Linked DNA regions of Mus musculus: all the other regions are reported to be linked to region 1. Evidence: microRNA targets listed by miRTarBase, many of them from high-throughput screens and not tested one by one. Region 1 holds a microRNA gene; each other region holds the end of a gene's coding sequence.
Evidence for each region. The annotated mature microRNA mmu-miR-410-3p reads AAUAUAACACAGAUGGCCUGU and lies in region 1 at 2,691-2,711, shown strand. An mRNA with a match to its seed (bases 2 to 7 or 8) in the 3' UTR can be bound and repressed. Matches are read on the target gene's strand: a 7mer-m8 pairs with bases 2 to 8, a 7mer-A1 pairs with bases 2 to 7 and ends in A, and an 8mer does both.

Region 2: the mRNA of Wnt3 is a reported target of mmu-miR-410-3p. Seed matches in the 3' UTR shown: 7mer-A1 at 6,299-6,305 and 7mer-A1 at 6,306-6,312.
Region 3: the mRNA of Tex12 is a reported target of mmu-miR-410-3p. Seed matches in the 3' UTR shown: 7mer-A1 at 578-584.
Region 4: miRTarBase lists Ret as a target of mmu-miR-410-3p. Seed matches in the 3' UTR shown: 7mer-A1 at 2,741-2,747.

Annotation. Positions count from the first base shown.
Region 1 is chr12:109,741,074-109,748,175 of GRCm38, forward strand. It overlaps Mir410 (microRNA 410), which reads left to right and starts at 2,642; the gene lies at 2,642-2,722. Mirg (miRNA containing gene) reads left to right here. Exons shown (of 8, transcript NR_028265.1): 3 at 617-742; 4 at 989-1,217; 5 at 2,284-2,345; 6 at 2,593-2,774; 7 at 7,052-7,102. It overlaps Mir541 (microRNA 541), which reads left to right and starts at 1,336; the gene lies at 1,336-1,425. It overlaps Mir409 (microRNA 409), which reads left to right and starts at 2,085; the gene lies at 2,085-2,163. It also overlaps Mir412, Mir369 and Mir3072.
Region 2 is chr11:103,811,632-103,818,728 of GRCm38, forward strand. Wnt3 (wingless-type MMTV integration site family, member 3) reads left to right here. Exons shown (of 5, transcript NM_009521.2): 4 at 650-1,137; 5 at 4,446-6,390. The coding sequence ends at 1,129. Among named protein-coding and RNA genes, the nearest start is that of Gm35365, 31 kb to the right of the region's middle.
Region 3 is chr9:50,550,658-50,557,761 of GRCm38, reverse strand. Tex12 (testis expressed 12) reads left to right here. Exons shown (of 5, transcript NM_025687.3): 5 at 271-614. The coding sequence ends at 415. It overlaps Bco2 (beta-carotene oxygenase 2), which reads left to right and starts at 2,624. Exons shown (of 12, transcript NM_133217.3): 1 at 2,624-2,741; 2 at 7,021-7,104. The coding sequence starts at 7,060. It overlaps Il18 (interleukin 18), which reads right to left and starts at 3,062. Exons shown (of 7, transcript NM_001357221.1): 1 at 2,785-3,062.
Region 4 is chr6:118,149,486-118,156,605 of GRCm38, forward strand. Ret (ret proto-oncogene) reads right to left here. Exons shown (of 19, transcript NM_001080780.1): 19 at 2,263-5,950. The coding sequence ends at 5,771. Among named protein-coding and RNA genes, the nearest start is that of Csgalnact2, 14 kb to the left of the region's middle.

The sequences.
Region 1 (7,102 bases):
TGAATAGAGGCGACCAGCATTTCATCCCGTTTACATTAAATAATAGTGATAAAATAATCACAAAATAACACCACAAACTACCAGAATAGCTTGGAGGAAAATGTGTTCAATTGACTACAAATTGGCAGAAGAATCCAATTTTCTTGACAACATTTGAGCTGCGACATTTGACCTGGGGAAACAGTACTCTGTAGACATGGCAGCCGCAAGGGGCAGCTTCAGTAGTGGCGGATGCTATGAGCAGTAATATTTGTGGTAGATGAACGCACATTGAGGAATCAAATCTTCGTTCAGATTTTTAAATGGGAAAGAATTGATCCTAATGAAAATGATTTGAGGAAATAACAAGGGAAATAAAAGAAATGAAAATGGCCCAACAGCACAGTCAAGGAAGCTAAACAGGGAATTGGATTAGTTTAATGGAATTTACTTTAAAAAAAAAAAAAGGAAAGAAATGCATGTTTTTTTATGAAAATCAATGTGGGTGTGGTGTTTGAGATGGGGAAATCTATGGATATAGACTAGAGCTAGTGGGGTGATAAGAAGGACTGGTCACCATGTGGGTTTTTTTTTTTAATGTGGCTAAACTTTATTTTCCCATCCCAAACCTTTACAGAGAGCTTCATGGAGTATTCAGAAGCTGGCGGGTGTCACCTGGAGGATGTGACTGGGTACCAGTGCCAGAGCACGTGCCCACTGAGCAGTCTTCTTCACTTTCCTCGATCCTCATGAAACATTCCGGGTAAGACACTGGTTCTGGGGAGTCTGCTCTTGCCGAGCAGTTGGTACCTGGAACATTCTAGGGCCTGCCCTTCCTTGGGTTTCCATGTTGCCAGCTCCCAGGGCTAGGCTTAAAGACGTACCCATTGTTGGTGCTGAAGGGCTAGGCCCGTACGGGAGGTCATTTTAGAGTGGATGTATCCAGGGTCTAATATACTATCTGGGGTGTGATGAGCACCAGGTTTCATGGTGGCTCTCTTTCCAAAAGGATCTTTACCTCAAAGGACTCCAGAGGCTACATCATTGTCTTGGAACTGGTCAGTGGCTGGAGCTCTCTCCAGGACAAGTGCTTGGAGGAAGAACCTGGACAAGCTTCCCTCCCCATACTGTTGACTGGATCTTGTAGCTACCGTTAGCCACCATCATCGCCATTGTGTGCCTCTTAGGAGCATTTCCAGGAGGTGATGCCAGCTGGGGAAAGAGCCTCTGTCCCACAGGTCAGTTTCCAGAACACCTACATGAAGCTGCCCGTGGCGTCTTTTCCCCGTATGACACACTGCATGTGACCAGTCTCTTGCTGCCCTGCAGCAAGGCTAGAAGCCTGTGTGAACTCTTGCCAAAATCAGAGAAGGGATTCTGATGTTGGTCACACTCCAAGAGTTTTAAAATGAGTGGCGAACACAGAATCCATACTCTGCTTATGGCCTAAGTCAATGGATCCTGACCCTTACTGGAGAGCCCTCCCTGGCGTGCTCGTGCGGGGCAGCCATACACACTGGCACAAGGGGACCCTGCGGGATCTCCTTCCGCTGTTCTTTCTCTCCTCCCTCCATGTTTATCTTTGAAGCATTACTTGCTTGGTTTATAGGACTGGATGGTCAAGCAGTTCTTGCTATGACATCACCGTGGGGGGAGGGGGCAGGTGACAGGGCGGGGATGCCAGGGTCGTGGGGCTGCAGTGGTTGGGTGGGCCCAAGGAGGAGCATCTCTGGATGATGCAGTCATTGCCTCCTCGCTTCTGGAAGGCATCGTCTCTGGGAGGGTGGTGTGGTATATGCGCAGGGTCTCAGCATCTCCCTATCTCCAGCTTACAAAGGAGAGATAGAGTAAGCAGAGTTCTGCACCCACTTCTGCCCCGAGTCAGCTCCTCGCTACCTGGGTCTCAAGGTTGTCTGGGAAGGCTTTAGATATTCTTGGAAGGTGAAAGGGTGGTAGATTGCACTGGGGAGGTGATGGAATAATTGCTTTCACGTGGTGGAGGGTGGCTCCTCACTGAATGGGGAGTTATAATCTCTGAGGGGCTCCAGGATGGTTCTTCTGGAAACTCAGCCATCGGCCTCGTTCTGAGCATCCGAGCCTCTCCGTGGTACTCGGAGAGAGGTTACCCGAGCAACTTTGCATCTGGAGGACGAATGTTGCTCGGTGAACCCCTTTTCGGTATCAAATCCCTCCAGGGAGGCCACCTCAGGGAAGACCATGGACTCATCTCGCTCTGGGGTATGGGACGGATGGTCGACCAGCTGGAAAGTAATTGTTTCTAATGTACTTCACCTGGTCCACTAGCCGTCGGTGCCCGCTGCAGCCTGCGCCCAGGATGTCACAGCCTCAGCTCAACACCTCTGCTGGTACTTGAAGGGAGATCGACCGTGTTATATTCGCTTGGCTGACTTCGAATAATACATGGTTGATCTTTTCTCAGTATCAACGCTCAGCTTGGAGAAGCTCTTGGAGTTGCAGCCCCTGTGGGGGTGGGGACAGCATGGTGCTTCTAGGTTGCTGCCTCCGCGGGGAACTGGGCTGGGTGGAACAGGCTGTGTGCTGCCTGTGTCAACCCTACTCACCATTTATATGCAATCCCCCCCTTCCCCCCAGGACAGCTTCAGGTGGTGATTCCAGCTCCAGGGTTGCTGCGGTCAACACTGGGTACTTGAGGAGAGGTTGTCTGTGATGAGTTCGCTTTATTAATGACGAATATAACACAGATGGCCTGTTTTCAATACCACCTGCCACTCCGGTCACTCGGCAGTACATACCAGGTGTCACACCACTGCCCGGTAGGTAAATGCATGGACTCTGTATGACGCTTGTCACCCCCTCTTCACTGAACCTCAGCTCTGAGGAGCCTCCTGGGATCGCACCAACCTTGTAGGCTGGGCCACGAAGCATTGGCCAGATGTGCAATGGATGGCTGTCCACTTTCCATGCCTCTTTCCCGCCACAACAATGGGTGTTTGTCCCTGTCTAAGGCTTCCACCGAGGGCTGCATGCTCAAATGCCCTGTACCCTGGGTGCTTCTCAATACCATGAGGGCTTGGAGGGGCTAGCATGATACTTAGGGAAGAGCCAGGCCAGTTGGTTACACGTGCAGTTCCTAGTATCTGAGGTGAGATTGCCCGTGACGGGTTTCCATTCTTAATGCTGGTACAGTGCATGGTCACCTCTCTTTATCATTGGCTCTTACTGTGTGAGCATGGGTGTCAGGGGAGGGACACACTTTGCTGACCCACTGGACACCACTGATGGTCAGGCATGTAGCTGACTCATCCTGACCCAGAGCCTCACATCTCCTGAGGTGGGGGTTGGGAAGTCCAGAAGGGCATCTTAGAGGAAGAAGCATCCTAAGTAGAGTCCGTGCTGGTGGTACCTGAGCTAGCTTGTCTCTGAGACGTTTGTTTTCTATCTGATGACTATCCCACAGCCTACTTCTCTGCACCATGTCCTACCCTAGACCATTTCTACTTTGAGGCATTGATGCCAAGAACTGAAGCCTTTGTGTTGGTTGACTCTCTAGTCTGTATGTGAGACCATCCCTTGGCCTGTCTTGTCCTCAGTGCCACCCTGTTGGAAATAGCACAGAATGTCCTCCTGAGTCTACAAGGCAGTGATACCCAAGCTCTGTCCCTGCTTCACGAGCACAGGGGGCCCAGTAGGGATTAGCCTGCACTTCTTTTTTTTTTTTTTTTTTTTTATTTTTTTTTTTTTTTTCATTTTTTTTTTATTAGGTATTTAGCTCATTTACATTTCCAATGCTATACCAAAAGTCCCCCTTACCCACCCACCCCCACTCCCCTACCCACCCACTCCCCCCCTTTGGCCCTGGCGTTCCCCTGTACCGGGGCACACAAAGTCTGCGTGTCCAATGTAGCCTGCACTTCTTCATGTTTCCTCCAACTTAACACTCTGGCTCTGTCAGACTCCTGTGAGCTTACTGTAGAGGCTTGACCTAGAGTCTCAAGGACCCCAGAAAGTACCTGATCACACCCAGTAGGAGCCTTTGAAAGACAGGCTATAGATTTTTGGTATTTAGTAAGGCTCCCCAGGGTGGCAAAGAGCTCTTTCTGATTGGGCTTGCTCCCCATTGGAGCAAGTAGCACCCTCACCCTGGCAACTCCACCCTGCATGCTTTTTCTCCTCTTCTGGGCCTCCTCAGCAGCAAAATGCTCTTCCAACAGAGATAGTGGCTGCGCACCCTGGCTTGTACCTAGCACATGGTCTCCTTTAGATTTCTTCTCTTGTTCAGGATGGTCTGCCCAGGCGCCCTCTCTCTGGGAGTTGGTCCTGGTTACTGTCTCCCACAGTCCATCCCCCTTCCTTGGTCCTCAAGCTTGTAGGCCCCCTCCACAGGAGTTCAAGACTCGGAGGGGATCGTGTTCCCTGCTCTGCAGTGACAGTGCAGGCAGCCTGACACTCTTATCCAGCTCCTTCCTTTGTGATATGACATCAGACTGCTTGTCAGCTATGGCTCCCCAGGTGCCTGCTTTCCCAAACTGCCTAGTACCTTGGTTCCCAGCCTCTCCCTGACCCCAACCAAAACAAAACAAAACAAAACAAAACAAAAAAAAAAAAAAAAGAAGAAGAGAAAAGAAAAGAAAAGAAAAGAAAAGAAAAGAAAAGAAAAGAAAAGAAAAGAAAAGAAAAGAAAAGAAAAAAGCTTTAAGATTTCCCAAGGCAGACGAGGACCTTTCCTTTGCGTCTTTTCTCTTTCCTCTGTTTTACTCCCTACCCCTTCCCTCCCTCCCATCTTACTTCCCTGACTTATCTTCTGCTGTATTCTAAGCCTTAGGATCCAGGCCAGGTCTATAGTGACAGAATAATGGAGTGTGCTGATTGACTAATAGAGTCCCCAAAGGCAGAAACCATATTAGGTTAATCCCCAGGAAGGTGGTGAGCATGAAGCAGGAATTCCATAAGATGTGGTGGCTGATTCCATAAATATAGAAGCTGGGTTCACTTAGTCTTTGCATTTGTTAGAGGCCTCCCACCCCAGCTAGTCACCGATTTTTGAGACGTACAGCGATAGGGGACAGACAGGTCAGCTATGTCTGCGGGCTTTTCTTTACTTTTGTAGCTGGGGGTCTCATGCTAGGCTTCAAATTCATCTGAGCACAACCCCCACCCTCCACTCCGTGAACGTCTCCGTGGCAGCAAGCCAGAGGCCCCTCAGAGGCCCTCGTGCAGCAGGCCTGAGCTGCTGTCAGGGCTAATATTTTATGCATGGACCTAAGCAAATGGGAACATTTGGAGATGGAAATTGCTGTTAATGACACATCTTTGGAATATATTAAACGCGTGCAAGAAGGCTGCTGATCTCTCCATTTAATTGCTCCAGTGTAAGCGCAGTCACACCACGGCATCCACAGATAGGCTACCCCTAGTCTCTGCATCACCGATGGGGAAAGCCCCAGGTACCTCAGCCACCAAGGGAGTATTATGTACAAGATGGAATGTCAGCTGGGGTGCCAAGCAACCACCGACACGCACACTCCAAATTCATTGGAGACCCTAAGAGGATGGTCCCTCCTGCTCGGTGCAGACTTTTATTAAAAGCAAAATTACTAGATTTATCTATTGTTTGAGAAGAAGAAAAGACAAATAAAGGACTTTTCTCATCCAGTGAGTCAAGTGAAAATGTCTGCCCCTCAGGCAGACAGGAGGAAAGCCTCTGGGGTGGGGGACTTTCAGAGGTCAGAGAATTCACCATTCCCAAGATAGCGTGTTAACCTAATGTGCCAAGGTCACAGGACACAGGCTAGTTCAGGTGATCAAGTCAGTTTGCCTATCCCACAGTTCCTTGGGGTGTGGTTAGACTAAGGCAGTGGTCTGTTCCTTTACTATTTTCAAGGAGATGGTGTGTAGCTTGTGTGTGTGTATGTGTGTGTGTGTACTGGCTGTCCCCAATAAGCATGTGTGGAGGGTGAGGAAAGATTGGCTCAAAGAGGTGGAGTTGTCTTCCCAGGATCACACAGCTAGAGACAGGGCTCCAGGCTGGATGTCCTTAAGATCTTTGCTTGTACTGTTTTGTGTCTCTCCAGAGAAGACCCCATGTTCCATAGGTGATAGACAGCTCATTGACTTGCTCCCTGTTCTTTCTGAACAGTGAGGCAGGATTACTTTCCCCAAGACATTGCTTGCTGGAATTGTCAGGATTGTCGTTTTCCCCTTTTAGTTTACCTAAGTTAACTAAGATGCTTTCTTTCATGTGTGGCCTGAGGAGGGGCTGCCTGCTCCATCACAAAACCGCCATGTGTGTGCGGGTGTGAACCTGATGCATCTGGTCAATGGCTAGAGAGCTACACACCCTTGTGTGCTGAGCTGGCTAGGGCTGTCCTAGAGATAGAGTGAGTCAGTAAAGTTTCTTTGTCAAGACTTGAGGGGCTGTGGCAACCTGTGTACCCCTCGAGCTGCTCATAGTCGATGCTCAGGAGATGCCTGTCTTCCTTGCATCAAATGGGTTTAGGCATCAGCAGCAAGGAGGTGAAAGATGGATGGCTGTGGGAAAGCTCAGAGACTGTTTGTGGAATGAATAAGTAAAAGCACACCCTTTTTGAGGAAATTAAGAAACAGGGAGAGGAAGAAACGTCCAGGGAAAGACAACATAAATCTCTAGCAACATTACCAACACCACAGCTGGGCCTGTTGAAAAGACCCTGTGGAGGTGGTGGGGTCATTTGTCATGGGCAAGGACAGGCTTAAGGGCTGGGACATGGGGCCTGATGGAGGCTCGTCCATCATTTTCTCATTATCCCTGCAACGTGGAGGGCAGCTAGCAGATCACAGAACAACAGCCTCCCAATGAAGGTGGCAGGGCTGTTGAGTGCGAGGGACCCCGAGGGAGGGCAGGCTGCCCCAGGCCCTGCCCCCTCCAGGAAGCCTTCTTGCTCCAGCCCAACACACAATCTCACTTTGTCCTCGGATGTTCATCATGTGATCTTTTATCAACGCAACTGTGGCGGGGCCCTTGCTAACTTGCTTCCGCGTGAACCTGTGCTTGCCTACGTGTGGTAAAGCGGAAACACTGTGAACACTTCTGACCTTGTCTTTTCAATTTTAGGCAGGTGACAACGCTGAATTGGTCCTCAGGAGCGGATGTTCAAGGAACCCT
Region 2 (7,097 bases), not on the chromosome of region 1:
CCCTGGACCCCTGCCTTCACGGCCAGGTTCCCATCCACACCCCATAGTAACCCCCTGACCACCCTCCTTCCTCTCTTCCAGCTGTCCTTTGAATAGGTTTTTTAAAGTATATTTACTCATTCTCAGTGTGTGTATTCCATGTTGTGTATGTGGAAGTCAGAAGGCAACCTGTAGTGGTCAGTTCTTCCCACCATGTAGGTTTCCAAACTTGAATCATGCTTGATGCTGTTCCTGGATCTTTTGAGAAATCTGCCAAGGAGTGCAGTATGGCTGCCCCATAGGAACAACACCCATAGGCTACACTGGTTGGCAGGCTGTGCCTGTGTACGTCTGTGATGTGGTTGTGGGTTGGGGACTGACTCTGAATCCAAAGTAGGGTTTCCATAGCATAGCCCTTCCTATGCTCGTGGAACACTTAGCTCTCGGCCTCAGTTTTTCCATCTGTTCAATGGGAATAACAGTCCCTAGTTTGCACCACTTCTATGGATGAGGTGAATGTGAAGCCTGCTGGGGCCGGGGGTGTGACTAGGGACACTGGTTTCCACCCATTCTTCCTGGCACCAAGTAAGAGTAGAGGAGGGTGTGGTACAGAGGGGAAGCTTTCTCCCGGTGTGTCAGTCTGAACTAGCTGCTGCCCCTCTTTCCCTAGACCATCCTGGACCACATGCACCTAAAGTGTAAATGCCACGGGTTGTCCGGCAGCTGCGAGGTGAAGACCTGCTGGTGGGCCCAGCCCGACTTCCGTGCCATTGGCGACTTCCTCAAGGACAAGTACGACAGTGCCTCCGAGATGGTGGTGGAGAAACACCGTGAGTCCCGAGGCTGGGTGGAGACCCTGCGGGCTAAGTACGCGCTCTTCAAGCCACCCACCGAGAGGGACCTGGTCTACTACGAGAACTCCCCCAACTTTTGTGAGCCCAACCCAGAGACGGGCTCCTTTGGTACCAGGGACCGGACTTGCAATGTCACCTCCCACGGCATCGATGGCTGCGATCTGCTGTGCTGTGGCCGGGGCCACAACACGAGGACGGAGAAACGGAAGGAGAAATGCCATTGCGTCTTCCACTGGTGCTGCTATGTCAGCTGCCAAGAGTGTATTCGCATCTACGATGTGCACACCTGCAAGTAGTGAGCCAGGTAGGGCGCGGGGCGGGACGTGGGACTGCCCTCTCCTCCCATCCGCTAGGCCTGCTCTTCTGATTCTCGGCTTCCCAAGACGAACAAGTTCCCAAAGCTGAAGTCAGAAACTAGGCTTCCCACGCTTCCACGGGAATGGTCTTGGGGAGCGACTTGACGTATTTACACGAGGCTCAGATAATGACTGAGGGTGTGCACGTCAGCCACAAGCAATTGATTAAAATTCTTACACAAATTAGCAGTGATGAGCCAGACCAGATTTGTTCATGGCTGCTGGCTGTCATTAGTGAGCATCTATTCGGCCAGAAGAGAGGTTGAGGTCTGGTCCCAGCCATGCCCCTAAAAGTGTCATATCTCAGGGCCTCAGTTTCCCTACTGTCTAAAGGAGAGGTTCAAATGTCAGAAACAGGGGCAGGGTATGGTGGGACTGGCCTTTAATCCCAGCACTTAGGAGGCTGAGGCATCTGGATCTGAGTGTGAGGTCTGGCTGGTCTCCATAGAGAGTTCTAGGCCAGGACTACACAGTGAGACCCTGAGACAGTCACCTAGTAAGTCTCTCCTAACCCTGGGGCAGAGTCATTTCACATCACCCATGAACTGAGAGGGCAAGCTTTGACCTAACACAAATCCTCCAGAGCTTGGGAAGGTGGGTGGGGGAAGCCAGATCTGAAGCTTGGGTGGAGCGGGAGCACTCTCACCAAGTTTATGGAGGGAGACAGGAAAGAGGAGAGCTCCCAGTTCAGAGCGGCTGGGGTGAGTGACCGTGGGATAAAAGCCTGGTGGATTATGCTTCCAAGCTTCCCAGAGGTGGCCTGCATGCGTGGGAGGACCCCAAGAAAGGTCAGCCTGGAAGCAGAGTGATCCTAGAGGCTCTGGCATGGGCCAGTGTGACCCTTGTCTCTGTCCCCTCCCCTGAGAGGGCTCTGCTAGTGAGTCTGACTCTCAACTGGCTTTTCTTATTTGTCAACCAACAACTCTGGCTTCAGCATCTGTTACCTTCCCCGAGCAGCTGTGAGGAACGTGGGAAACCACATTGGTTCCTGGAAAAGCAGCTTTCTGTCCATCTATGGATGGCCAGCGCAGTGTGTTCCACCCAGGGACCTTGGAGCTGGTGACACACCAGAGCTGGTGGCTCATGTCTGCGCTCTGTAAGGGTGGGGGGGTACCTGACATCACAAGCCCATCTAAGAAGTTCCTTGTGGGGCTTAGGTTCCATTCCCAGGGTCCCTCTAGAACCATACAGGAGGCGTGGGTTTTCTTTATCAAGGTCAAGGCTGGAAGGAAGACAGCGGCGAGCTTTAGCGCTTCACGCGCCCACTGCTGAACCTCGCTCCTCATCTGCGCAGTGATGGCAGTATGGGGATCTTGATGGATTTTTATAAAGCTCAAGTTAGTGGGTGTGAATGCTGCTCTAAGTGTCAGGGTTGCCATCAGCGTTAGCACGGGGTTGCTGCAAAGGAAGATCCCATGGGCGTTCTTTCTGCTTTTCAAAGGGATGGGAGAAAAGTCAGCAAGTAGGAAGGTTGAGGTGGAAGGAAGCAGACCATGACGGCCGCCTTCTCTGGTATTCACTCTGACAAGAGTTAGCCCTGCACCCCCCAATATCAGATAGTACATACATAGCTCTGGCCGTTTTGAGGAGCTCTTGGTGTGGCTTCTTATCACTCAGCTAGAAGGGCCATTTGTCCTGACCACCCATGTCACTGAAGGTTAGACTTGAGTTAATGGCCTAGATAGACCCAGGGGTCTGCTTCCAGAAGCTTCCTATGTAGGCTTGCATAGGCCTCAGCATTGCCAACCCAAGCTTGATACATGGGGCAGTGTGGGTCCAAGATACAGAGCCCATGACTCCACTCCGTCCTTGCCCATGTGGGCAGCTGAGATCTTCCAGGCAGGGAAGGAGGTGCAGGGTGAGCCTTTGTTGTCCAGCAAATCGCTCCACTCCAATCCTTGCCTAAAAATGATCTCCTAAGAAGAATTGGGTGTAGCTGGGTAGTAGAACACTTACACCCCTGAATCAATCTCCAGTACTGGGGAGAGGGGAAAGCAGCCCCCTTTCCTCACATTCCTAAGGTAGACACTTGCTGTTTTTCTAGTATCATGCAGACATGTTTTTAAGAAGCTATGCCCACAGAGTTCACAGCCTTAATCCCTTCCCATGGGGTGGGGGGTGGAGGGGGGAGGAGGACTGGACTCTCAACCTCACACTTCCTGATAAGAAAGATCCCTCCCACTGGGATGTCCTTTGCCTCTCGGAGCCCAGGTTTCCTCCTGTGTGAAGTGATAAGGTCTGTGCCCTGCAGGGCTGCTCAGGAGCCAGACACAGCCATAAAGAGCCTGCTCTGGGCTCCTGGTTTGGAGCCATAGGCCAGAAGGTGGTTGAGACCTGGTTCCTTCCTGTCCTTTCACCCCCGAAGGCGCTGCTACTGATGGAAGCCAAGGGACAAATGGGCAGGGAGACAGCAGGCATAGAAGGCTCTGGCTTTTTTCTTGCACAAAGGGGCCACAGAGCAGAGCCCAGCAGGCCACATGCCCTTCTCTGAGAAGAGTTCAGCACAGTGGTAGCATCCAGTCCTCCCTAAGTGGGGAAGACACCTTCTCCATTGCTTGAGGTTTGTCCACTGTCTCCACTTAGCCACTAGCTTGGTATCCGAGTGCTGGTAGTTTACAAATATCTGATTTATTCTTTTTATCCCTATGTCGGAAAGGCTATGAATCTAGTCACCCCCTCTAACTGGCCCTGTGTCCTGGGTCTGTTACTAGTCTTTTGTGGGACCTTAGGCATATCCAGGTCGTCTTGCTATGCCTGGTTCAGCTCTGCCAGCAGCACCAGAGATGAGGGTTGGCTGGGGGTTGGGGGGTGCCTGGGGCGTGGCTCAGTACCTCAGATCCCACGGGATAGGGCTGTACAGAGTGATCATGCTCAGGAAAGCACCCTGGGAGGGAGTTCACCATAACTAGGTAGAGTCCGTTTCTTTTGGACAATTCACGGCAGTTGTGCGTCTGATGGCAGGCACTAGCCCTGCTGTGACTGGTGGCTCAGACTGGCAGGCTTTTCCGTCTCCACGTAGGAAGGGCAATGCTCCCTTGGTTACCTACAGTGGGCTTCCTCAGCTAGGAGGAGGTTTGAGTTGTGTGGATGCAGGCTCTGTTCTTCCTGAGGATGGCATGTCCTCCCTCAACAGCAGGCTCTGGGGCGAGGAGGGAGGCAGGGCTGGCAGCGTAGGCAGCCTGTGATCTTTGCATCCCAGGGGGTGATGTTGACAGCAGTTATGAGGTTTCTGATTCTTCCTGTTTATTTCCCAAAGGGCACTGGGAAGGGGTAGATTGTGCGGCTGGATCCATTCATCGAAGTCCCATGAGAAGCAGGATCTAGATCCAGGCCAGCCTTCGGCACTGGCCAGCAAGGAGCATGGACTGTTGCCAGCTGCATGTGATAAACGACCTGGACCCAGCCGGCCTCGGACGGACGGGCGGCTTCTTTCTCAACTAACGTCTCTCCCCCTGCTCTGGATGGTGTACGGCTTTACAGAGGGGCTTTCTTTATGGTTTTACCAGGGTCTGCTGGGGACAGACTCGAGGCTTACCTTTGCACATGTTAAAGAAAATAAAAATGAAAAAAAAAAATCTACCGCAACAGAACAGGCTGGGCTAGTGTGAGCTCTTGGCCTGGTGGGAAGGACAAGACCATGGCGAGATTCTGTGTCCAAGCTGCCTCTACTCGTGACATTCCAAGATGCCTCTGAGGTGGGAACTGTGAAGTAGGACAGAGCCCCGCAGTCCCCTCTTGTCCGTCGACTCCCATTTAAATTGGACATACCTTGTCGTTCTGAGAAAAGCCATAGATAGGTGTAGCTGGGATGTAGTGATGGGGAGGCCCCTGGCCAACAGTGGGAGCAAGATCTTGAGTTTTGAAGACCTCAGAGTTCTGGGCGGCCTGGGAAGCCATCTGCAGAACAGAGTTCCTTGTGGGCTCCTGTTTTCGCTAGCCCTGTTCTGCCCTGGAGCGACAGTCAGATCTCCACGCCCCTTTCTGTTGTTCTACAGTGTCCACCTTTACTACGCGTTTTTTTTTTTTTTTTTCATGATGACCTTGTAAATAGGTCAGATGTGGAGGCAGGTCTCTTCTGGCTCCATCCACCACACCCAGAAAGAATGGGCTGCTCTGCCCTTCTCAGCCTTGCTAACCAGCAGACACCGAGGAGAGCAGCGGGGCACCTTAGAGAGCAATCTAAACATGGTTGGCAGGTGGGGAGGGTAAAGAGTCCCACTTCCTTTGTGTTAGAAGGCAGACTACCCTGCGTCCTTTTCTCCCATTGGCTGAAGTAACCAGAAAGACAAGAGATCCTTAACAAGCCCTTCTTCCCACTTGTAAAAGGGATAGCCTATCTCAGTTCCCAAGGATCTGGATTAGATAGATATTCAAAAGAGGCAAGCAGCGAATGGAGGCAGCTCCCAGCTCTGTTCCCGACGCATGATGGTACTGGCTGGGTTTAGTAAGGTGGGTGGGGCTGCACGGATCAATCCATCAACTCCGTCTTAAGGAGAATCAGAAAGAGGAGATAAAATGGGGGAATGGGGCAGAACAAAGAATTTGTCCTTTCCCGCTTCTGTCTAGGGTCTGCTAATGCTGGCTTGACGAGGGGTCAGCCACTTCTTTCCTGTTGTGCAGTTGGCTTGCCAAGCAGGCTCCAGTAGGCCCTTGCCTGCACTCTCTACCATGTGACCATGAGCACTGCTCTAGGGACACCTCCCATCCCTTCCTAGCACCCCAAATGCCCCTTCCCATCTCTCCTTCCAGAAGTTGGAAATCAAGTCAACTGGATAACGCTTGTGTGAGGACACTTGAGCAGAACGGATACAACAATTTACAAGTCTCTTCATATCTATGTATTCTATATTAAAAGTGATAAAGTCATGTTTCCGGGGCGTATTCAAGTAGCTGACAAGTAATTATTTAATAATAGTACATGAGCGCATTGTAATTATCCTCGCCATAGTCAGGTAATAGCATCCAATGGGAGGTCCCTACCAACCTGCTGTATCCAAAGTTTTGTAAAAAGTTGTAGAAGTTGTTGATCTTTTTGATTTTATATTCAAAAAGTCTCTTTTTATAAATATTATTTATTATACAATGTATATACCTTTGAGTTAACTAAGATTATATATTATATAAATATATATATATTTGGAGAAAATCTATTTCATCATGCAGTTTTTTTCTGTTAAATCATTAAAGAGAAGGTAAACTTCAAACGGACACATTGTACGATGTGTGGAGTCTCCAGATTCGTCCTTAGGTCAAGGGTATCTGAATGTTGTGCTAATTAAATGGCCAAATTTACGGTCATTTCCTCTGCTCTCTAAGCAAGATGAGGTATGATGGACAGCAGATGTGACATGAGCCTTAAAGCATTACTTGATATTAAGTCAGTATCAAACAAGGAATTGCCAACTTGGGGAAGAACAAACCTGGTCAGCAATTCATTCATAGACTTGAAAAATTTCAACAACGCATGTTGATGTCTCAGATCTTTCTACAAGGTTCAGCCCAGGTCAGTGGGTCACAGGGCCTGCCATAGTCTTACTCCCTTTCTCACTACATACCCAACTCCAGTTGTGGGAGAAATAGGAATTGCTCAACTGTAAACAAAGCTGGACCAGAAACAGATAACAGCTGAACTGTGGAAGAGGTTGGTAGGTAGGTTGACCAGATGGTGTTCTGCCTGTGCTCTGGGCCAAGTGACAATGGAATTGTAGGTTGGTTTAGATAGGTTGCTGGGCAGAGCTCTGGGAAGGGCACTCTCTCCTTGGGCTGGAGTTTCAGTGACTCACCCGAAGCCTTTGCCTGTCATCTTGATGCTGTGCAGTTTTAGGATGATGGGTGGTCCTTCAGTTCTCAGACCTACCTCTAAAATATCCTCTTCAGTGTTCCTTTCTTCTGGTCTACCACTATTAGA
Region 3 (7,104 bases), not on the chromosome of region 1:
TAGTTTAATTTTAATAATTTATATAATTTGTTATTAGTTATAGTGCATAAGATACACTTTGTGTGTTTTAAATGATCTAAAATATTTTCTAGACTGCTTTAACTTATCCTGAAAAAATATTAGTAAATTAATGAAGCTCTCTAGTGGACAAAGCCATGAAAATAAAATAGCTAACAGATAAAGACTAAAGAATATGACATTGATGATGTATCTAGACTTCATAACTTGTTTTTTTATAACTTGTTTTAATGTCAACTTTTTCTCTATTAGTGAAAGAGCAGCAGTAGATGCATCTTACATCGATGAGATAGATGGACTCTTCAAAGAAGCCAATATTATTGAAAACTTTCTAGTACAAAAAAGAGAGTTCCTGAAGCAGAGGTTTACAGTAATTACCAACACCCTACACAAGTAATGTGCCTATGCCAGCTAAAAGTTTTTCCTGTTACTGCTGTGTTCTTCTTGCTAGAGAAAACATATATTAAACTGTAACTTTTTCTAAATTTAAAAGAAGTTTTAAGATAGATATTAATATGAAGTGTGTAATATTTCTTTTGAGGGTCAAATATTTGGCACATTATATAAAAATATAAATTAAAAATTATATGCATGTTCTTTTCTTTATTGTTTACTCCTAAATTGCTTAGCCCTTCTTAAACTATGAAAGAGGACTCTGTTAATTTGATTATGCTTAACAATATTTGTTTAAATAGCAGATGATTTTTGAGATAGTTTTAAAGTGTTTTTCTTGATTTTTATTATAAAAGAACATTAAAACATTAAAGGTATTTTGTCCAGTTTCTTAACATATAATAAAATATAAGTGTGCTACTACTATTTAATATTTCCATTTGATTATTTTTACTTTTAACCATTATATTTGACTAATAAAAATTTGGCTTAAAATATTTTCTTATGATAAAAATAAAAACTGGAAGTTACTATAACCTGGCTATTTTTTTATTTTTTTAAGTGTCATGCTATATGGAATCCAGGTGAATTCATGGTGTACCTGACTCAACCTCCCTACCTAGTATCAGCATTAAGGTTATATTCCAACAAGTCTGGCTGTCAAGTGGCTTTTTACCTATTAACCACATTGATTTGTAAAGTTTATGAATTATATTTAGAAGCTTTAGTTAGAGTGGATGATATGGAAAGGAAATTAGTAATGTGGGACTCAGGAGATCATGGCTTAAACATGGCTTCAGCAGGCCACTCCTATCTTATGATAATATGAAGTGGAATTTGGTCTAGAGAAGTGGTTTTCAACCTTCCAAATGCTGCAACTCTCCATTACAGTTCCTCATGTTGTTGTGACTCTCAACATAAAATTATTTTTATTTCTGATTCATAACTGTAATTTTGCTACTGTTATGAATCAGGATGTAAATATCGGTGTTTTCTGATGGTCTTAGGAGACTCCTGTGAAAGGGTTGTCTGACCCCAAACGGGTCATGACCCACAGGTTTGAGAAATGCTGGTCCAGAGGATCTCTTAGATGAAAAATTCCTCCTCTATTCAAATAAAGCACATTTATGATTTTATTAAAAATGGTCTATGAAATATATAACATTAGTTGGCTCCAAAAAAATCTATCTCCACTTTTTATCATATAGACAATTGGTCTTTTCTGTGTATATTTTCTAATATAAGAATAGGGCACCACAAGGAATTTGTATTTTTAAATTAGGCAGTATCTTTTTACCTGGATGCTTGTAAACTTGTAAATTTTCATTCCATCAAGTTACATGTTTGTTTGAGGCAGGACCTATGAAACCCTGGATGGCCTAGAACTCACTCTGTAGGCCAGGCTGTCCTTAAGCTCTCAGAGAATTCCAGCTGCTCTGCATAGATTGCTAGAATTAAAAGAAAAGAAAAAACAATAACAAAATAATGGGGTGCTGAATCTCATTTTTTGTTATTTTTGCTTCCAAGCAGTGTTTGTTATTTAGGTTCTCAAAGATACTTGTTAAAATAATAAAATTATGTACTGTGATATGTATTTATGGTCTCCTGTCTGTGCTTTATTGTGAGAGAATGCTTTTCATAAAACTAATGAATATCACCTTTAATTTCAGCACTCAGGAGGCAGAGGCATGTGGATCTCTGTGAGTTCGAGATCAGCCTGGTCTACAGAGTGAGCTCCTAGACAGCCAGGACTATACAGAAAGACCCTGTCTTGAAAACCCAGCTCAACGCAAACTAAACCAAAAACAACGCCCCTCCCACCCCAAACACCTAATGAATGTAAAAGAAAAGGGATGAGAGGAAAGGGAAAAGGGTGAGCTATTGCCTGCCAGTCTAAATTGAAACTTCATTCTGTCTGAATCATTTCAGAGGAGAGAAGTTGTACAATGAACCCCTGAATCTGGTTCCATGGACTTAGCGGCAGGTGGGGGCAAATTCCAATAAGGAATGGTTAAGGAGGGAGGCTATTATTGGTCCAATTTTAATGTCAAAGGTTAGAGTTGGTTAGGACACTTGCCATAGAACTGAGACTAAGTTAGTGTTTTGAGCCCCGCCTCTCCTTTTCCCTCCCCTCCAGTCCCATTTGATCTCAGAGCCAGGGACAACCCAGGCTCATTATTTACTTAATCAGGCCAGTGGCTGCAGATTCAGAAATCTCAAGACCTGAGTTAAGAACTGAGTTAAATACTATTTCTCAACTGTTTCTGCGTTTCCTCAGCAGCCTTCTTGACACCGCAGGGTTCTTCCTGTGGCAGTGTACCATCGCCCAGGTAGGGGACTCCCCTCTACCCGTTCCTTTCCTGGGCCACTTACCAGTCTGCAGTTGGACTGCTGCGCCCGGGGCCTGAGGATTATAGCAGGCTTCCAAAGCCTCTTTGTGTGATGCAGGCAGCACACCACAGGGGAGAAGTGAAAGCAAGCTTGTTTTACCAACCACAGGATTGGTGTACTCATCGTTGTGGGAACAGCCAGTGTTCAGTCAGCTAATGTGACGCACTGGGGCAGGATTCAGCCCAGAGATCTGATTTGTCCTGGATGCCTCAAAGGGTTTTTCTCTATCCTGAGTTTTCCCAGCTGAAAACCACTGCTTTGTATTCGGATGCAAATGTTTGGTTCTCCTATTTGCATTCTGGGGAACTGTCTCAAACCCTGTGGTTTTTGTTCTGTAGCTTTCTATTATAGTTACTACTTCAAGGATTTATTTTCAGTGATTGGTTAATTATAGAACTGCCAGAAATGGCAACAATATGCACAGTTAATTATAAAGTTATTTAACCATAGTAACTTATATAGTATGCTGTATTGTATGTAAGGCAGCATGCTAGGTGCTAGGAGTGGGGAGGTATAGCTAGACTTTGTATTCAAAGAATACTGCCAGGAGAGGTTGTAAAGTGCACTGGCCTTTTATCACACAGGACAGCAAGATAAGGGCCACCAGAAAGCTCTCCGAAGTTGTAGCGAGGAAATGGGAATTCGGTGCTTAAGAAGCAGGTGACCCAGAAATTGGAACTTGAAGGTTGAGTTGCATATGCAAGTTTCATCTGAAGGAGATGAGAAATATCCTAAGTGAAGAGAATAGAATGGTCATGAGACTAGGGAGCAATCCAGCTAGGCTGGAGTGAACAGCTAGGGTGGGCTGAGGGCCATACGAGGTCTTTAAGTGCCTCGCCTGCTCAGGTAGTTTCAACAATTACAAGTGATTTGTGATTGAATGGATGGAATTCACATGGAGGAATGAATGATGCAGCCAGATTTACATGTAGGAGATTTAATATTCACATTATTGCACTGGTGGAAAAGCATCTTCCCCGCTCATCCAGATAAATTAGAATCTCTAGACCTGATGAGAGCTGGAGGCAATTGTCTGAGGTCTCTAACCCTTAAGATGGTCCAGTGGCTCCAGGAACTCATCTCACTAAGTTTCTCTTTCCAGACTTCAACTGAGAGGCTGCCAAGAAAGAGTCAAGGGCCTGAGTTAGGCAGCAGGAAGTGACACATAGGAAGGAGAAGTTGAGGTACCAGGGCTGAGGAAGATGGGCTTCGGATAGGAAAAAATCTGTAGTCCCAGGAGAGAGACTGATGAAGACAGAGTTACCCGTGCAGAATTTTGAGCCTGGGGAATTTATATGTAAGCCACAGAGTCATCTTTTTTTCAAATTTCCCCTACTGGCCTGTGCCACTGGGGTCAGAAGAACTGTGCTGTAAGGAGAGTGAGCAAAATGAATTCAGTGCCCACAGAGAGACTGAAGCGAGATGTTTGCTGGTGGAAGAGCTGATTCAGAAGAGGAGATAAAGAGTTGAGAGTCGGGTCGAAGACATAACTGGAGAACTTACGAATCAAGATGAGATTACTAAGGGCCAACGTTGAAATTAAAGGGTAAAGGTCCAAGGTTATACTTTGACATTTCCTTGGTGATAAGAGGTCAGTAGAGGAGATTAACATTTGCTAAGTATCATTGCATTTCATTATGATGGGAGGTCTGAGTAGGAGTCATTAACCTCTCTTAACCCTTATTTTATTTTCGATAAAACTTGAGGTTTGGCAGGGTTAAGATGTTTGCCTAAAGTTACCAGCTAATGAAGAAGGAAGCTGACGGGAAGCAGAATAGTTAAACAGCAGCAAAGTTAAAAGAGCAGTTAAATGTTAGAATAGCTCATCTCCCAAGCCAAGAATGGAAACAGGCGTAAGCAGGTGGTGGCAGCCATATCAAGTACTCCATACAAAAAGTTTGAGGAGTATAATAGGATCAGTAACATGGAGCATAGAGCAGACAGATATGTAAATATAATCTAACATGAAGACGCCACAGAGATGGCTCAGTGGTTAAGGACGCTGGCTGCTGTTCTAAATGATTTGGGTTTCATTCCCAGCATGCACATGGTGGCTTACAACCATCTTTAATGGCAGTCCCCTGGAATCCAACACCCACTTCTGACCTCTGAGGGTACCAGGCATACACATGGTGCAAAGACATAAAACATAAAGTATTTATAATTCATGCGTATCTAGTTGGACTGTTCAATTTCACTCTATGTATAATAGGGAATCTACATTTTATCAGGGAGTCTTAATCTAAAGGGAGAAGAAGATAAACTCACCACTGTTTACCAAAGAAGAGCAAGGAATGTCTAGATTTCTCTTTGCTTTTCTTCAAAGCATTTTCTTAAGACCGCTAATACTACCTATCATTCCTGCCTTTTACTTCCTGCTTGTTTCACCCCAGAGACTATTAGGAATAGTCTATATATTAGGAATCGAGTAGAGTCTGGGAGTCTAGGAATTCGGATTTCAGCTCCTGTGCCAGAGAGTAATGGATTGTGCGTCTGTTGCAAATAATCTTTAGACAGGACTGAGATGGGATGGCAGGATGACTCATCTGACCCCCTAGGCAGCGAGTTCCTCTTCTTGGGTTGGGAGACTTTTCAGTCTCTCAGCAGTGTCTAGCTCTTCCTTGAAAAACTAAAATAATCCAGAGAAAGAAAATCATCCATAGTGCATCTTATTGTATCGATCATTTAAAGTTAAATAACACTAGACATTTTAGGCTTATGTATTGTGTTCTGAAGCTTTCTATAAATTTGCATGGTCACTTACAACCTTAGGCATGGTAAGAATTTTTATTTTTCTGTCTTAGAAAGGAAGGGAAAGCACAGAGAGGTTGAAAACCTTACTTTGGAAGTGACTCAAGATTTGAACCTAGGCGCTCTGGCTACGCTCTTTAAAGGAAGTAATATTTGAGTTAGATCTTGAACAATAGGTAGCATTTTCTTTACTTTTTCTGGTGTGTGTGTGTGTGTGTGTGTGTGTGTGTGTGTGTGTGTGTGTGTGTAAAGGTGAGAGGTTGATAAAGAATTTGTTTTTCACCTTTATTTTTTGAGATAAGATTTCTCTCTGACCCTGAAGTTGATCACTAACTGGGCTAGACCAGCGGGCCAGCGAACAGTGGAATCTTCCATCGCCTCACTCACTGTTAGGATAACAAGGCTTGGTACTGTGCCTAGTGCTTTTGTTACCGTTGTTGTTCTTTATGTGAGTGTTGGGGTTACATAGCAAGCAAGTGAGCTACCTCCACTTCTCCCACTCCTCACTGCTCTCCTCTCCTGCTGAGACAGGAGCTTACTTGGTAGCTCAGGCTGGCCCCTTATGTTCCTCCTTTTTTAGCACTGGCATTACAGTTGTGTGCCACCACAACTGCCAGGCATTCTTCTCGTGTGGCTTTATTTTTCAGTGTTGGAATCCAGCACAGGACCTTATGGGTGCTGGAGAAGCGCTTTACCTCAGATCTACATCTTCAGCTATAATTTTCTTAGGGAGAGGTTTGGGGAGGGCATTCAGGGTGAAATGAATGTCATTTGGGAAAACAAGAAAGAGCTTGGGCCTGACTAAATTGTCATATTTAGGGAAATAAAAGGTCTCATGTGCTGCAAATTTATTATTTCAAAGAAATTGGATCATATATTGTAAAATAAATTGCCAAAAGAACATAGATCTCATGTCTTGTGATAAGTTTGATCTGTTAATTTTTCTAGTCTAGATTCGTGTACCACTGATAACTTCTATGAAGTAAAGGATTGTAGCCAAAGTTACAAGTAACTTTGTTCTAACTAAAGTTATATTTGACCACACCTCTCTGCATTCGTTCTTATGAAGTCTTTTAAGTATGAAGTAACAGGGATGATGCCCAGCTCCTGATTATAGGGTAGAATTTTACTCTTGCGGCTAAGGATTGGGGTGGTTCAGAATGGAGCATCCATGCTGGTACCTTGAGACTGAGAAAGAGGAGAGAGGAGTTTGGAGACTATGCGGTTTAGGTTCATACTTCCCTCAAACTTCCATTTCACAGAGTTGTCTGTCAGGGAACAAGCACGTTAACTGGAGATCCTGTAACAATGGTGTGTGTGTGTGTATGTGTGTGTGTGTGCGTGTATGCATGTGTGTGCATGCACATGTGTTTATGTATATGTGTGAACTTGTTTGTGTATACATGCATGTTTATTTGGTTATGTGTGTGTGTGTACATGTGTGTGCTTTTTGCTTCTCTTTTACAGTTTTGAAGGAGTATGTGAGGGAATACTCACCAGGAAACCATGTTGGGACCGAAGCAGAGCCTGCCATGCATTGCCCCACTGCTG
Region 4 (7,120 bases), not on the chromosome of region 1:
GCAAGTAACAGGCAGCCACAATGCAGGCAAGTCCTATCATATGCCTTTAAAATTGCACTCTGCTATAATACTTCCTTCTCTGCGTACTTTCCAAAAAGTCATAATTCTTCCATCCTTAAAGTCACGTCTTTTTTTTTTTTTTTTTTTTTTGATGGAGGGTCACACACTGTAGTGGTGACCTTCCTGCCTTAGGCTCCTGTATCATCAGGTCTGATCCTTGACTCTACGGTTTTCAGGAATTCAAGAATGTCAGTCTACCAGGCCCCATAGCCTGAGTCACCGGAAAACTCCCAAGTCCCTGAAACCTTTCAAGGGAGACCCAAGATAGCTGAAAGCCATGCCTGGACGGGAATGGAGGCCTCACAACAGGGCTATGATACAGGTGCCATCCATCAACAACAATCCTCTGGCTTCAGGTAGTGTAAGCAGCCTTAAGTATGACCTAAACAGGGACTGCACGCTCCTAAAGCCACGAAAGTATAAGCATGACAAAGATGAGACAGACACTTAAAAGGACCTTAAGCTTTTTATTGGTGAAGCTGACCATTTTCAAGATATCTTCATTATGAAATATCAAAAATGTTTCTTCCCCAAACTGAAAACTGGCTATTATATTTAAGCTGTAGAATGCACCCTTACCTTTCTTAGCAACACTTATTTTTAACTTGCATTACTGTGTCATCTGACACAGGTATCCTAGTACAGAACAGAGATGGTAAAGTCATAGTGGCTAGAATGGTCTCAGGATGTGGGCTCCAAGTCTTTACTGCCTGACCCCATTCCTTGCAGTGCCACCAAACTGAGAGGTGTCCCTGTCAAAGTCTCCCATGCCTGAGCTTCAGCTGAGATGTCTCAATAGCCAGGTCTTGCAATTTAACGTCCCCGTAGCTGGAGAAACACTTTGTCACTTGTCACAACACACAATGCCATTGTCACAATAATAAACTTGTGATTTTTTTTAACGTTCAACATGTTTCTCAAGCACTGGGAGTGAACGAGGCCTATCTTCAAGAGGTTCATGGCTTTGCTACAGGGTATGGTAATGTGCCCAATTAACCACTCTCTATACACAAAATATGGTTTCTCATGAGCTTACCCAAGACGTTCCATCCTGTGAATCCCCAGTGAAGTGGGAAGCCATGGAGTTCAGCTAAGGTGCTGCAATTAAAGATCTTCTGTATTGGCTGGCAGTAGAGGCCAGGGTGGCCAATCTGCGCAGAATCCCTGCTCTTCCTGCCCAGCCCTCTACAGGCAGAGGAAGCTGACTGTGCTATTTGAACATGCTTAAAGGAGAGGGATGGCTGCCCTCCACTCTGCATGCCTAGGGAGAAATGGTTACTTTATACACTGGGAAGTATGCTTCTCCTTTATTTAGGAAGCATTTATCTAGGGTATGTTCTTGGATCTACTTAGTTCTCCACCCAAATAAACTGGCCACATGGCAGGACATGAGAGGAAGGAATCTTTCATAGGAGTTGGTATTTCTTTCTTAAGGGGGGAAGTAACAAGTAACAAGACACAGAGACACATGACCCTCTGGAGTTTATGCTGCTGAAACAGTATGTTTCCAGTATGCTTCTGTAAAAGCCTGCCCCGAGGTACCTCTGAAGCTTCAGCATGTATTTCCTTCCAGCTTTTGTGGTCCAGACTCAAGTAGTAGGAATCAAAGGTTGTCAGGATGGCCTAGTTTGGCTCCAGGGGCGAGGCAGTTGCTGGAAGTGACTCAGGCTCTTTGCACTCAACACACACTGTGGTCACAGACCGGACTGGTATTAAAAACTCACGTTTGTCACTGCCCTGGACGGAGGCTAGAATGAACTAAGTAGCTGGTATGTTACACTTTGTAAGTGGCTGACGACGGTTTCTCTCCACCTTCTGCGATGTTCACTCACAACTATGCACTTTTTAAGTTTTAGTAACTGAGAGATTACTGATGTTTCAGGAAATTAACAGCTAAGAGTTCCAGAGACCAGTGGATATCGACACTGGCCACTATTTGTTCTAAGGAAGGTCACCTGCAAGGGGGATGTCTCCAATTGCAGGGAGGAAATCCTAGAGTCACAGGGTTAGTTGACTTATCACTTGAATGTTGTTGTACAAGACACCCACCAGTGACACCACCAAGAGCCATTGCTCCCTCGTCATTATTGCTCTCCCACAATTACAACAGATTCGCTGTGACATTTTAGTTATGTGTAGAAACTTTGAAATGAGCAAGCTGAGGTTTTTTGCACCAGGAAGTTAAAACGAGAGAAAAAGTTGACACATTTTATGATTTATTTTATTTACACAACTGAAATTATTTCCTTAGTCACCTTGATTACAAAAACAAGTCAACACGGTATGGTTTAATGGCCTTTCTTAAATAGATCTTACAAATTTAGTGGCTGACAGATAGCTACTTAATACTCAGTAATATTTAATAAGGGGTAACTTCTGCATATATGTAGATGAAAAATCTGTCTGATAGTGCTAACAAGTATAGGTACTTTAACAAGTATGGGTGCTTTTATATCTCAGGAACAGACAGACAATGGTTATTAGTCAAGTGTTAATTCCTCACAAATGGGCCAGCTATTTAGACTTGGAGCTCAGCCCTTGAGAGCTAACTTGCCCTAGCAAGTCACACTTACCGTGTAGGCATGTTGAATAATTTGAATTCATCCGTATTTTTGCACTTAATAAAACTACCATTAAACACATCTGAAAAAACAAAATGGGTCCCATGACTAGAGATATTTATATAAAAAACCTTATCACAGTGTATCTGAAAAAAAAATGGCCCAAAACTAAAGCCATATTATATGTTAAAATAAGCATTTTTCATCTTCCTGTCTGTCTGGCTATGTGTGCACACAAATATCACACACACTCCATAAGGCTCTATCTGGTATACTTATCTGAGCATTCTCAGCCACATAAAATGTCACAATTTTACTGTGTTTGTGAAATGCCCATAAAGATATAGTATTTTATTATGACTATTTAAAGTCCTATCACAGTGCTTCAAGTCTGAAGACCAGGCAGTGTTTTGGTAATGTGACCTTTTCATGGGAAGTGACAGTCCACAGACAGCCAAAGAAACTTCCAAGAGCCACCCCTAAAGCCCTAGAGGAGTGCTGAGTGTCTGTGGCTACAACTGCCCATATAGAAAGACAAGAACCTTACACGTGAGTCGTGGTTAGAACAGAGACCAAAACACGTACCATAGCAGCATAAAGGACGGCCGGAAGAGCTGACCCATGTGCCTTTCACACAAGCTCTATAAGAGCCAAAACCTTGTTCTCTCACCTCAGTCAGTGTCAGGGAAACATCTAATGCAACTAGATGAACTGTCCTTCCCTTTGGGCATGAGCTGGCAAGCCAGGGATTAAAACAAGACAGACCCACCTGTCCCCAAGCAGAGGGTGGGCACACTCTTTGGTGGGTAGGGTGTACTGCAGACTGGCTTGCTGGGGGTGCAGAATTTGTGGCTCAAGGCCTCTGATGACAGCAATACTGGACCTGAAGGCAACTCTACTCCAAATGCCCCGCTTCTTCACCCTGTTCTGGTCAGTGAGTCGGAGTCACGCAGCGTGAATGTTGCCGAGGGCTCAACAGGGGGACTAGGTCATGTGGGGTCACTTCTTTCCAGTTGCCTTGTATATAGCAAAGGCAACACCAAATCTCTCCATTGTGCTAATTCTAAGAGCCATTTAACCATGACAGAAACAAAACATTTTCCTAAGAAAAGGCTACATGGCTAAAAAACCCAAAAATCTATATTCAGGATGTCATATATTGAGCCGAGGACAGCCCGGAGGCTCCCTTCTCCCCTCCAGCCCTAGTGGACCCGGGTGGATGCAACTACCCAGTCCTATGCTAGGCTTTCATTCTAGACAAGGACAGGTCGTTCTGGCCAGGTTTTTCAATCAATGTTGTTTGTATGTGTGCTTCATGTTAAAACATTTTTGGGGGGACGTGGTAGGTTTTTTATCAGCCAGGAAAATCAGACAGTTCAGGTACAATTTCTCATCCAAGTCATGAATGGCAGACCCCACACATGTGGACACAGAGCTCGTGGTGGCTAGTGATGAGCAGACCAACAGAGGTGCTACCCAATGCTAAAGGGAAAGGGGATCTAACCAGAGACTCAGAGCACCCACCCAATGGGGCAGGTGTGCTAGGAGGGCAGACCACCAGGAGGGAGGACCACCAGCTATTTGAAGTAAAACCATTTGGAAACCAGCTAAAACAAACTACAGAAAACAAGTCTGCCACCTAAGGCTGGTCTTGGCCAGTATGATGTGCACAAAGGGGCCGGTGGACTTGATGCTCTTGGCATGTTTCTTCCCCCTTGGGAGTCCATTACCGTTCACAAAGGAATGTTAGCTATCAAATGTGTCCATTAATTTTGCCGCTGAGGGTGAAACCATCCAGTTAGCATATACACTATCATTTGCATATCTTGGGAACCCAGTGCTAGTGCCATCGGCTCTCGTGAGTGGTACAGGACTCTCTCCAGGCCAGTTCGGGTCTGACATGCCTAAAAATGAAAACAGATAATTTGTTCTGCACTGAAGAACTCAAACTTCATGTGCAGACAGTAAGGCCTTGGCAAAACTCCCTTTGATGGTTAAACCAACTTGCGCTTTCCGTGCCAATTCCATTAATGGTTTTGCATCCCAGGTTTCCAAAACACTGTTCTACATGGGGCAACCTTACATGCTCCTGGTACAGGTAATTTAGCAGAGGCTACCAAATCTCAAAGCCTATGAGTTTAGAGTCTCAAATCTGAAACAGATCTGGTGAAATGCTCAACTGTTTTCCCAGGACAGTGTAAAGCATCAGCGAATGGCTGGACTATATGGCTTCCTGTAGTGGGAACCCTCTAGGGGCTGTTCACCTGTCATCCCTGCTAACACGGAGGAGGAAGACTTCCTTTCCCACAGGGGGCACACACAGGCTGCCCCCGCAGCACTGTAGGCACAAGGCAGGTAGTGAGGACCTGTGACTCAGGAAGCATGCAGGAAAGAACCTACCTTAGCTTGAAACTGCAAGACTTCAAAAAGCATCAATGAGGAGATTAGGAAGCAGAAAAAAAATTTCAAGTATTTAATCCAAGACAAAGAAGGAGTTTTGGCAAGAGCCGTATTTACTGTCCATTGCAAGGCCACAGCACCACAGACTATGTTCTTTCAGAAAGCATTGGCTCAGTATTTAGCACTGGCTTCGTGAGTGACAACATCATGATGGGGGTAGGGTGCAAAGGATGTGAAAGCAGCAGTCTGGTGTCTGCCCAGGGCCCACATGGTTTTCCCGCTGCCCCACACTGCACGGCTGTGGACACATAGCTGGAAGTGGGATTATGGTCGGCTTCCGCGAGGCACACACCAGCCCAGGAGCAGCCTGGGGGTAGCCCAGCTTGCAACGATAGCATAGCTGGGGATGCCAGCTTTCCCTGGCAAAACTGACTCCCTCCCCAGATCAGGTAAATTTAAATATCGAAGTCACCAGTACTATGATTTGCTTCCCAATGGGCCCTGAGAATTCTGCTCTAATCCGCTTCTCCTGTGTCATCGTAAGTTGCTGGGCTGTGTGGTAATGACACTTATTTTCACATCCTTTTAGAAAGACATAGCTGCAAAATGCCTGAATGTATGTAAACTAGATGCAAAGTCAGATATTTACAAAGAAAAGGGTTCGGAGGAGGCTTTGGTGTCGGTGGGATCAGAAACACTCTTTAAAAAGCGTTACAGAGAGTTGGGATGGTGCAGAGAGGACAGCGTTGCTAGAATCTAGTAAATGCATGTGAAATTCTACCATAGAGTTTGTTTTCAATCCATGTGGAAGGGAGGGAGCGCGGGAGGGGAGCATTGTTACAGTCCACCAGGGGTGTCTCCTCTTCTGAGAGCCCATCGTCATACAGCAGTGAGTCCGAAGGTGTGGATGCAGCCAGGTCCAAGTAGTCCTGGAAGAGAGAGAAAGAGATGGCCAGTTATCCTTGACCCTGGGCCATTCCTAAACATACCCAGGGACCCTTAATGCACATGGGGCAGAGGTGCTGGTTGTACCCCTATCCTGTACTGTTTCTTGGCCTCTCTGTTAAGACCACAGCCTCCATCCTGGAGGGTAACACTGAGGTAAGGCACTGAGGTTCCTTAATCCAACCAAGAGCAGAGGGCTGGGGAAATGGCTTCTCTGTATAGTCCTGGCCTGAAAGCACTCCTGGTCACAGTATTCCTGTAGAAACATAGTGTGCCAAGTGGTAGGTTTAACCCAATGGATGCTTTTCAGTTTCCCTCCCAGGACCTCTTCTGTTACAGGGAACAGATACAGATGCAGGGACCTCAGCTCCCATGTACAACAAACGCAAGATGCTTGCCACTTAATATTGTACCACTTAACTATGTAGACGATTCCAGTGTTGGGTTGGCTGTTTCTCAACACCGCGATTTTGGCATCTATTGTTACTTCTGCTCAAGACAACCTTGAACCCACAAATCTTGGAAGATTTTCTCAAAAAACAACAAAACTGTGTCAATGTATTTGAGGTTGTTCACTTTCTTTATCAGATTCAGTATATCCATTTTATGTATCCATTTTATTTTGAGTTCTTTGATGCTTTTGGAGCCGAGTTTTGTGCAGGGTGATAAATGTGGATCTATTCTCCTTCAGGCAGTCATCCAGTTTGACTAGCACTATTTGTTGAAGGTGTTGTCTTTTCCCAGTGTATTTCTGGGTTCTTTATCAAAAAACAGGGGTCTATAGGTCTGGGTCTTCAATTTGATTCCACTGATCAACATGCCTATTTCTGTGTCAACACCATACTGTTTTTTTTTTTTTAACTTAGCTTTGTAATATAACTTGAAATAAGGGATTGTGATATGTCCCATAGTTCTTCTATTGATCAGGATTGTTTTAACTATCTTGGATTTTTTTTGTGTGTGTGTGTTTCCATATGAGATTAAAAATTGTCCTTTCAAGATCTGTGAAGAGCCGTGCAGTTATTTTGATAGAGACGGAATGGTAGATTCAATCTTTTAGCAGGATGGCCATTTTCACACTATTCATACTACCAATCCATGAGCATGGAGATATTTCCATTTTCTGATATCTTCTTCAGATTTTTTTCTTCAAT